Linked DNA regions of Danio rerio. The protein of the gene in region 1 interacts with the protein of each later gene in a pairwise test. Links are inferred from orthologs where the notes say so. Each region holds a gene or a part of one and is shown on either strand. Other genes may lie near its edges.

Region 1 (3,832 bases):
ACCGTTTCTTCAGGAGCCTTGTTCAGGGTTTAGAGCAGGGTTACTGGTCTGACAGTAGAAATGCAACATGAGTTTTGCCTTAGAGTTTGAGCTCTGAAGCCATTGGCCCGATTCCGTAAGCTACGGCTCTCACTGACACAGCCCAACACCTATTGAACATACATTTATAAAGGATTGGTGTTTTTATACCTCCAGTTCTTTCTCATCAAACGCTTTGAGCAGGTGTTGTGGAATGACTTCGTTGAAGCCTTTCTGCAGGGCCAGGAACTGAGCCTCGATGCCCCTCAGGAACCGCCAGTTCACATACAGCCTGCGCAGAAACAGGACATTTGATGACACCCACAGACAAGCATCAGAAAAGCAGGACTGAGAGGTTGACAGGTGTGAATATCTTACCTCACATACTCCTTCTTGGTGTCCTGCGTGACTGGAATGCTCTTGCCATTGGGTTTGAGCTCATGCTGAATGATCTCTCCATATGCATTGTGTTCAACGCAGAACGTGTGGTCCAACACCCCGGTGATGTCATTATCTCTGAACACAAAAACAGATAGAGGAAAAATAATTACTATTAATAGTGCACACACAATTATATATTCATGTATGTATATTAAAGTGATTAAAATATACTATATCATTTGCATAATTTTCTATGTATGTACATAGGGATGTCCAGATCCGATCACGTAATTGGAAAATTTGGGGTAGATCACACGCTTTCAGACGTTAATTCTCATTATTTTTTAACACATCTATAGTTTATGCGGTGGCACAGAGTTAGACCTCTTCCTTGACAGCAACGCGTGCAGCATGACATTACTTTGTTACAGAGACGCTATTGGTTAAATGTCAGCAAAGTAGAACATACTTGAAGCGCAAAGCGCGAGTATGTCTGCGGTCTGGAGGTATTATAAAGTTGATGAAGACAACATTGCTATAGAAAACTGTGAGATATGTAAACTTGGAACTGTCTTCTGGGTATTTTAGAATGAGATGCTATTTGTTTTATATTAGTTTTTGTTTTATATTTACTGTTGCACTAAAGTCCAAAAGTGAAGAATTGATGTTATTAATTAATTGATTGTTCAAGCTACTTCACAGAAGTGCTCTATTTGTTAACAGATTTGTTGAATGTCAAAATAAGGTTAATTACAAAAAAGGAACATCCTGGATCTGTTTCTTTGCTCTTCTTTATTCTTTTTTATTTTTCATTGAAGTATTAGATCGGGTTTCAGTATCGGTAGACACGAAATCAAATGACTCGGACTCGAGGGCAAAAAAACCTGATCGGAAAATCCCTATATGTACATATATCTGTTATGTGTTTTTATCCCTTATTTGCCACTGGATTTAATATTTAGATAATTACATTTTCGTATAAAGCAACCTGGAATTCATAACTGCATTTTAGGATCATCTAATAACTACAGTATTTTCTATAAAAAATGTTATTTCTTTCTGTTTGCCATTTAAATGTTTTAACAGCTTATTTTAAAACACCCTTTAGTTTTAGAAGTAAATTGATATGTTTTAGATTTAGTTATTTTATTTTAAAATTAGCCGATAAAACATGCCTTTTGCAACTGGTTGAAATGTAATAAAGTCTCTCGCTTGAAATTTAATTAATTTTAATAATTTATTCTTATTAACTTTCTTTATTTATCTGGGGTTGACACAGCGCCAACATATGTTTTACGCAGTCTTTCCAGCTGCAACCCATCACTGGGAAACATCCATACGCACTCATAAACTATCTTTGGACTGCGGGGGAAACCGGAGCATCCGGAGGAAACCCACGTGGTCACAAGGAGAACATGCAAACTCCACACAGAAATGGCAACTGACCCAGCCAAAGCTCGAACCAGTGACCTTCTTGCTGTGAGGTGATCGTGCTATCCACTGCACCATCGTGACACCCCCATTTAATGATATATGCAATTAGACAAAATAATAATTATGGCTATGATATAGGCAACCTCCCCCCCATACTCTTTACCCCCACTCTCTTTTATGTATGCATTTTGGTTTGGTTTATTTACTAACATAATTTACATTAATAAGATGTACCCTTGAGGTATTAATATGGGCTTTTTACTTAAAAGTTTGTAACTTTAGAAAAGGTACCACACAAGTGACAGCTCGGGTACCTTTATTTCTGAGAGTGTATAATAACAACATTACATCAAATTAATCCTTCTATTTTAGTTAACTACAATACCTTTGTTTTTGGAAAGACACTTATGCGAGATTTATATACTCTAAATGTTTTATTAATTTTTTATATTAAATTTAATGATATTATTGGTAAAATACTCATACTATATTACTAGTCTATTAGTAATTACTACTAATAATACTACATATCAAAGAATTCATCATGCATGCAATAGATGGATATGTTAAGCACACTGACAGGATCCAGACGAGGCTGTTGTGCAAGTCCGGATCCACTGACTCCATGTCATCCAGAGTGATAGGTTTGCCTAGCAACTGCTTGTAGAAGGGCAGAGTGAAGCCCCCGTCTATATAGTGACCATGGAAAACAGCCATTCCCATAATCCTCCCCACAAAGTGGAAATAAGACAAATGCTCCTATAAAACAAACATAAAAACATGTGAATTTTGTAAAGCGCTTGCATTCTAGACAGCTGCACGATATTGGAAAAAATCTGATATTGTGATATTTTATTTTTCTGCAATAAATATTGCAATATAAATACGGTTTCAGATGATGGTTTGAATAGCACTATTAGATGGTTTTCTGGGGATTTGCGCACAGAAATGGAATAAATCACAATGCAAAAAATGCCTTTCTTACTTTGTTTTGTCTTGTTTCTAGTCCAAAAATCAAAAAATTCTTAGACCAAGTAAAATATTGTTTAGTTTTCACTGATTTTGCTTGTTTTAAGGAAAGTATCTGCCAGTGGGGTAAGTTAATACTATTGTTTTTGCTATTAAATGTAGATATTTAGACTAGAAACAAGAAATGGCCTTTGCAACTCAAAGGCAGAGTTAGAGTTAGCAGAGTTATAACTGTAATTGAGATTTATAATTGAAATCACACAAGCATAAATTGATATAACAAATTAGGTACTATAAAAGAAACACTTTATATTTTTATAAAAAGCCAATCTCAAAATCTCAGCAGTGTCTTGTCTTAAGAATTATCAGTGTAGTTCAGAAGCTCGTGCACTTTCACTCACTGGATTGACAGCCGAGTCCGGGTTGATCTGTAGCGTGTAGATGTCATCTCGTGAATACTGGAACAGCCCATAGTATGGATTTAACATCTCGTGTGACAGCAAGTATAACCATTCCCTATGACACAAAAGCGCACAAACATTGGCACAAAATATTGACAGACATAAATCCACCATGACCCAATTTCACATCGTTATACTCTTATTCTACCACTAGATGGAAACAAGAGCCTGAAACAAAACATTTTTGACCCATTTTAACTTTCAGAATATTCAGCTTTTATATTAATGAAACAGAACATGATTCAAGAGCTGATTTAATCTATTAAGAATTGATTGTACTATGAAAATGAATAACATTATGGGTTAACAGGTTTCACTTTTGAAGACCTCAATGTATCATTAGGAGCTACAGTTATTAATTATGTTTTGTCTTTGAGTTTTTTCGGGACTCTCAAAGAACTTTAATAGTGACACTGGATGATCTATATTTGTCTAGAACTTTGGTTACTTTTCTTAATTGTAGTGTAAATAAACACACTGTTTACCCAGTAAAAAACAGCTCAGTTCAAAGGGACCCATTATCGACTGAAAAAATGCAGAACTTTGTTAAAACAAGGCTTTTTAAATGC
Region 2 (3,839 bases), on another chromosome or scaffold:
TTTACCTGTATAGTATGTGCAATATCATGTGCTCCATACTGCATTTTAATAAATGAAACAAGTTGCAGTATTGCTTCAGTTCTGTCTGGTATACTTGTGTATGGCGACCTCTAGCCTTCAATGTCTGAATCGCAATTCTCCCAAACAAATTGTGAACTTCTGCTTAAGTGAATTAACATTAATTCTTTATTGGTTGTAAGCCTAGTTTATTGTACACAAGGTGTTCTAAACATCGCCGGTAACTGGCACCTATTGACTGGTAACAGGAAATTACTATGGGTGTTTTATACCAGATTTTTTTTTCTTAATTCAAGAAGCAAGCACAGATTAAAAAACTAACGACTAACATGGTAAATATTCCTTTACAACGTTGTAATCGCACCAGTTTATTCACCCAACAGTCTGGGTTTCATTCCCATAACTTATGTTTAAGTTTCTTTCATCTGTTAAACTGATACCAAAGCTGTAAAAACTGCAACCACTGACTTCCACAGTGTTTTTCTACTATTGATGTGGTTACAGGTGTCTTCTCCCCCAAAATATATTTCCTTCAACGGGAAAAAAACCCAAAAGTAGGAAATTAAGAAGTGTCATATTTGGGTAAACGAACCATTAAATCCTTCATAACCACTACACGACCAGCTGCTAACGTGTACTCTTTATACTAAGGTTACGTTCGTCCTACTTAGTTAGACAACCTCTGCTTTTTTTCTATATGACGAGCTAGTCTCAGTGACTGCTATGCTTCTCAACTACGAAATATGTCACATCAATGTAAACCTTTGTTGCGCGCTTTCAGCTGTTAAAATATTTTGTTTGCGTGTGTGAGAACAGCTTGAACTTTAATTACGCATTTCAGTAATCTAGTTGAACCTGCTTGGTGACAATACATCATTTAGTCAAGAGTCATCATGGTAGAGAAATGTGCTCGTTAATAAATTAGCAGCACTCTGGATAAGCAAGTGGGCCACGCTTTACGTGCGTTTTACGCACTCAACTTTTTTGTTTAATCGTTTCACAATTTCAGCTCGGACTGTGCGTTTACAAACGCGAGCATGCAGACGCCTGAACCCGCCGAAATTCGTGTCATTCGCGAGAACTACGATAAAGCTCTGCAGTGTCTGAATACCGGACTTCAGTTAGATGAAGCTGGCAATAAAGACCAGGCTCTGGTCCTGTACAGGCTGGGCCGGCGGCACCTGCTCAGTGGGTTGCAGGTGGACACACGGGGCGGGCGCTGCACCGGCCGCTGCTGGGACTCTGCCCGACAAACGCAGCTGAAGATGGGAGAGACTCTGCGCACCATCACTGCTCGCCTCGGGGCTCTAGAGTCCGCTTCAAACACGGGTCAGAGACTTTATCCGACTCTCCCTGTCTTCCAGGACAAGGTACAAACAAATTGAATATATAACTCATAAATTATATATCTACATATCAGTAGGCCAAAGTGCTACAATAGTGTGTAAATAGCCTATACTAAAATGTTTTTTTTTTCTTTCTTTTTTTTTTTAAACAAGTGCTTTTGTTGGATATTCTTAAAATAGCATCAATTGGGTAGGAATTTAACTTTTTAATCTTGTGCAAGTAACTTTTATCCAGCTCTACCTGTCTTCCAGAACTCCCAGAGAGCATTTAACAGCAGAGGGGCCTCAGGAAGGGCCCCTTCTCGCCCTGTTTCCCCTCCAGTGGGCTTCGCGGTGCCTAATGAACTCCCACCAGCCTACACTCCTCAGCCAACAGACGGGCATCTGTCACTCTCTCATGGAGCCAACAGAGCGTTTCCAGATGCCCCACACCAGGGGTCCCGGCGTCAGGCTGTGGCCCCGGTCAATCTCAGAGAGGCCGGGATGGAGATTATGTTCTTGCCCAGCGGGGTGCAGATGTTTTTTGTGTCTGCTGAGGGTCGGGTCACTGCACCTTCTTATCCAGGGTACCTGAGGATCATCATATACAGCCAGGACTCGGATGGCAGTGCCAACACTGGCTATGCTCCAGCTTACCTGCAGGTAAACACCAGCACAAATGCAGTAGTCAACAATCAAACTGAATCAAAAATGTTATTCAGAATTGTCCAAGTACAAGAATGGGAGTTGTTCAATACTTTTTGGACAACTTCGAAGAAAGTCTGTTTCGTTGTTCACCAGTGAACTTATTTTTCTTATTCTCCATTTATTGTTATATAAATTGAAAAAAGATAATAAAGCCAAATAAAATAAAATGCACTAAATAATTATTCATTGGATTTACTTTTTTAAGGTAAGTGGTTGCAAATAGTTTATATGGGCTGAATTTAAGTTGAGCATTACTAAATATAATGTGTTTGTTTAAATTCAGGGTTGCAGCTGGAAGGGCATCCACTGCGTAAAACATATGCTGGATAAGTTGGCGGTTCATTCCACTGTGGCGAACCCTGATTGATTAAAGAGACCAAGCCAAAAAGAAAACTAATAAATGAATGAATGTTTAAATACAGTCCATAAAATTTTTTTGCAACCGCTTACCTTAAAAACTTTAGTCCAATTAAGCATTTTTTTTCAGTGTTATATGAGAAACATGGTGAATGGCAGCTAAAGCTGAACGACAAATTTTCTAATCAAATAAAAATATATATATTTTTCACGTACACACTGTCATACGCAGAAATGCTTCTGAACAGCCGTGATCTTAAAAAATATCAATAAGAAAAAAATGATTGAATAAAGAATTAGAATGCGAGTTCGACTAGAAGATGAAGATGAGGTTCTTCAGAGTTCCATTAATGGTCGCCAAATTCAATAGTTCTTTACGATTGTCACAATGCTGGAGAGATTGTGGAGATGCGGGGGACTAGGTTCACATATTTTGGGAATGCCCCAAAATACAAGTGTATTGGCAAGAGGTTAAAAGGGAGATTAGTAAAGTTTAAGGATAAAACATACCAATGCACCAAGTATTTTTTTTTTGCTTGATGACTTTCCCTCTGATCAATTCAGTATGTCTCACCTTTGCACTACACTTATTATTAATAACAGCTTGGAAAATAATTACAGTGAACTGGATAAAGACCCGCTGACCTACTTTGACAGAATGGACACCGAGGCTGAATTTATATTTGTGAAAATGACTGCAGATTTGCAGTTGAAATCAGGCATTTTTCAACAGACCTGGGCATTTATCGAAACATATTTACTTGATCTTTGAAATGCTGTTAGGGGCTTTGTTGTAGTTACTGTCTTTTATATTGGAGTATTGGATGTAAACATTTTGAGTAAACTAAGTGTATGTTTATAAAAACTTTAATCAAAACACAGTTTAAAAAAAGAAAGGGAATGCATATAGCTATAGAAAACAAAATGTATATAAAACTTAGCTGTACAAATATGGAAAACTTTTAATTTAACTGAAACATGCAGCGTACAAAACGAAAGGAAACTGAAAATATAAAACTTATAGTAAATTACAAGATATAAAAAAGACAAATAAATTACAAATTAAAAAAAGAATATACATTGCCTCTACTGGACTGTTAAGACAGATATATTTTTCTAAATGTTTTTCTAAATATTTCTTTAAAAAAATGCATTTTATTTTGTTAGATTTATGCTTAAATTAATAATAAAAAAGGAGAATACCAGCACAAGTATACTCTGCTTGGCCTGTTTCTTTTTCTCACTTATTTTCTCCTCCATTTGTTGTTATATGGAAAAACCTAAATAAATATAAATAGTAGATTGGCAACTAAATAAAAGATTAAGCTGAAGAACAAATTTTCAAATCAAAAAAAGTCTTGGTTAATTTGTCAAGTTTTGTAAACTAATTTCGAGAGCATCACATGCATTGATTGATCTCAGCTGGTCCTG

What was found.
Region 2: the proteins of smurf2 (region 1) and sparta interact in a two-hybrid assay, tested with the Homo sapiens proteins (2 studies listed by BioGRID and IntAct). The link is inferred for Danio rerio from reciprocal best matches to the Homo sapiens genes SMURF2 and SPART.

What each region holds. Positions count from the first base shown.
Region 1 is NC_133178.1:24,033,262-24,037,093, forward strand, and holds part of smurf2 (E3 ubiquitin-protein ligase SMURF2), read right to left. Parts: intron 3,319-3,832; coding exon 3,204-3,318; intron 2,593-3,203; coding exon 2,414-2,592; intron 535-2,413; coding exon 397-534; intron 311-396; coding exon 190-310; intron 1-189. UniProt on the Homo sapiens protein: E3 ubiquitin-protein ligase which accepts ubiquitin from an E2 ubiquitin-conjugating enzyme in the form of a thioester and then directly transfers the ubiquitin to targeted substrates.
Region 2 is NC_133185.1:39,919,969-39,923,807, reverse strand, and holds the start of sparta (spartin a), read left to right. Parts: upstream 1-978; 5' UTR 979-1,055; coding exon 1,056-1,388; intron 1,389-1,616; coding exon 1,617-2,006; intron 2,007-3,839. UniProt on the Homo sapiens protein: Lipophagy receptor that plays an important role in lipid droplet (LD) turnover in motor neurons.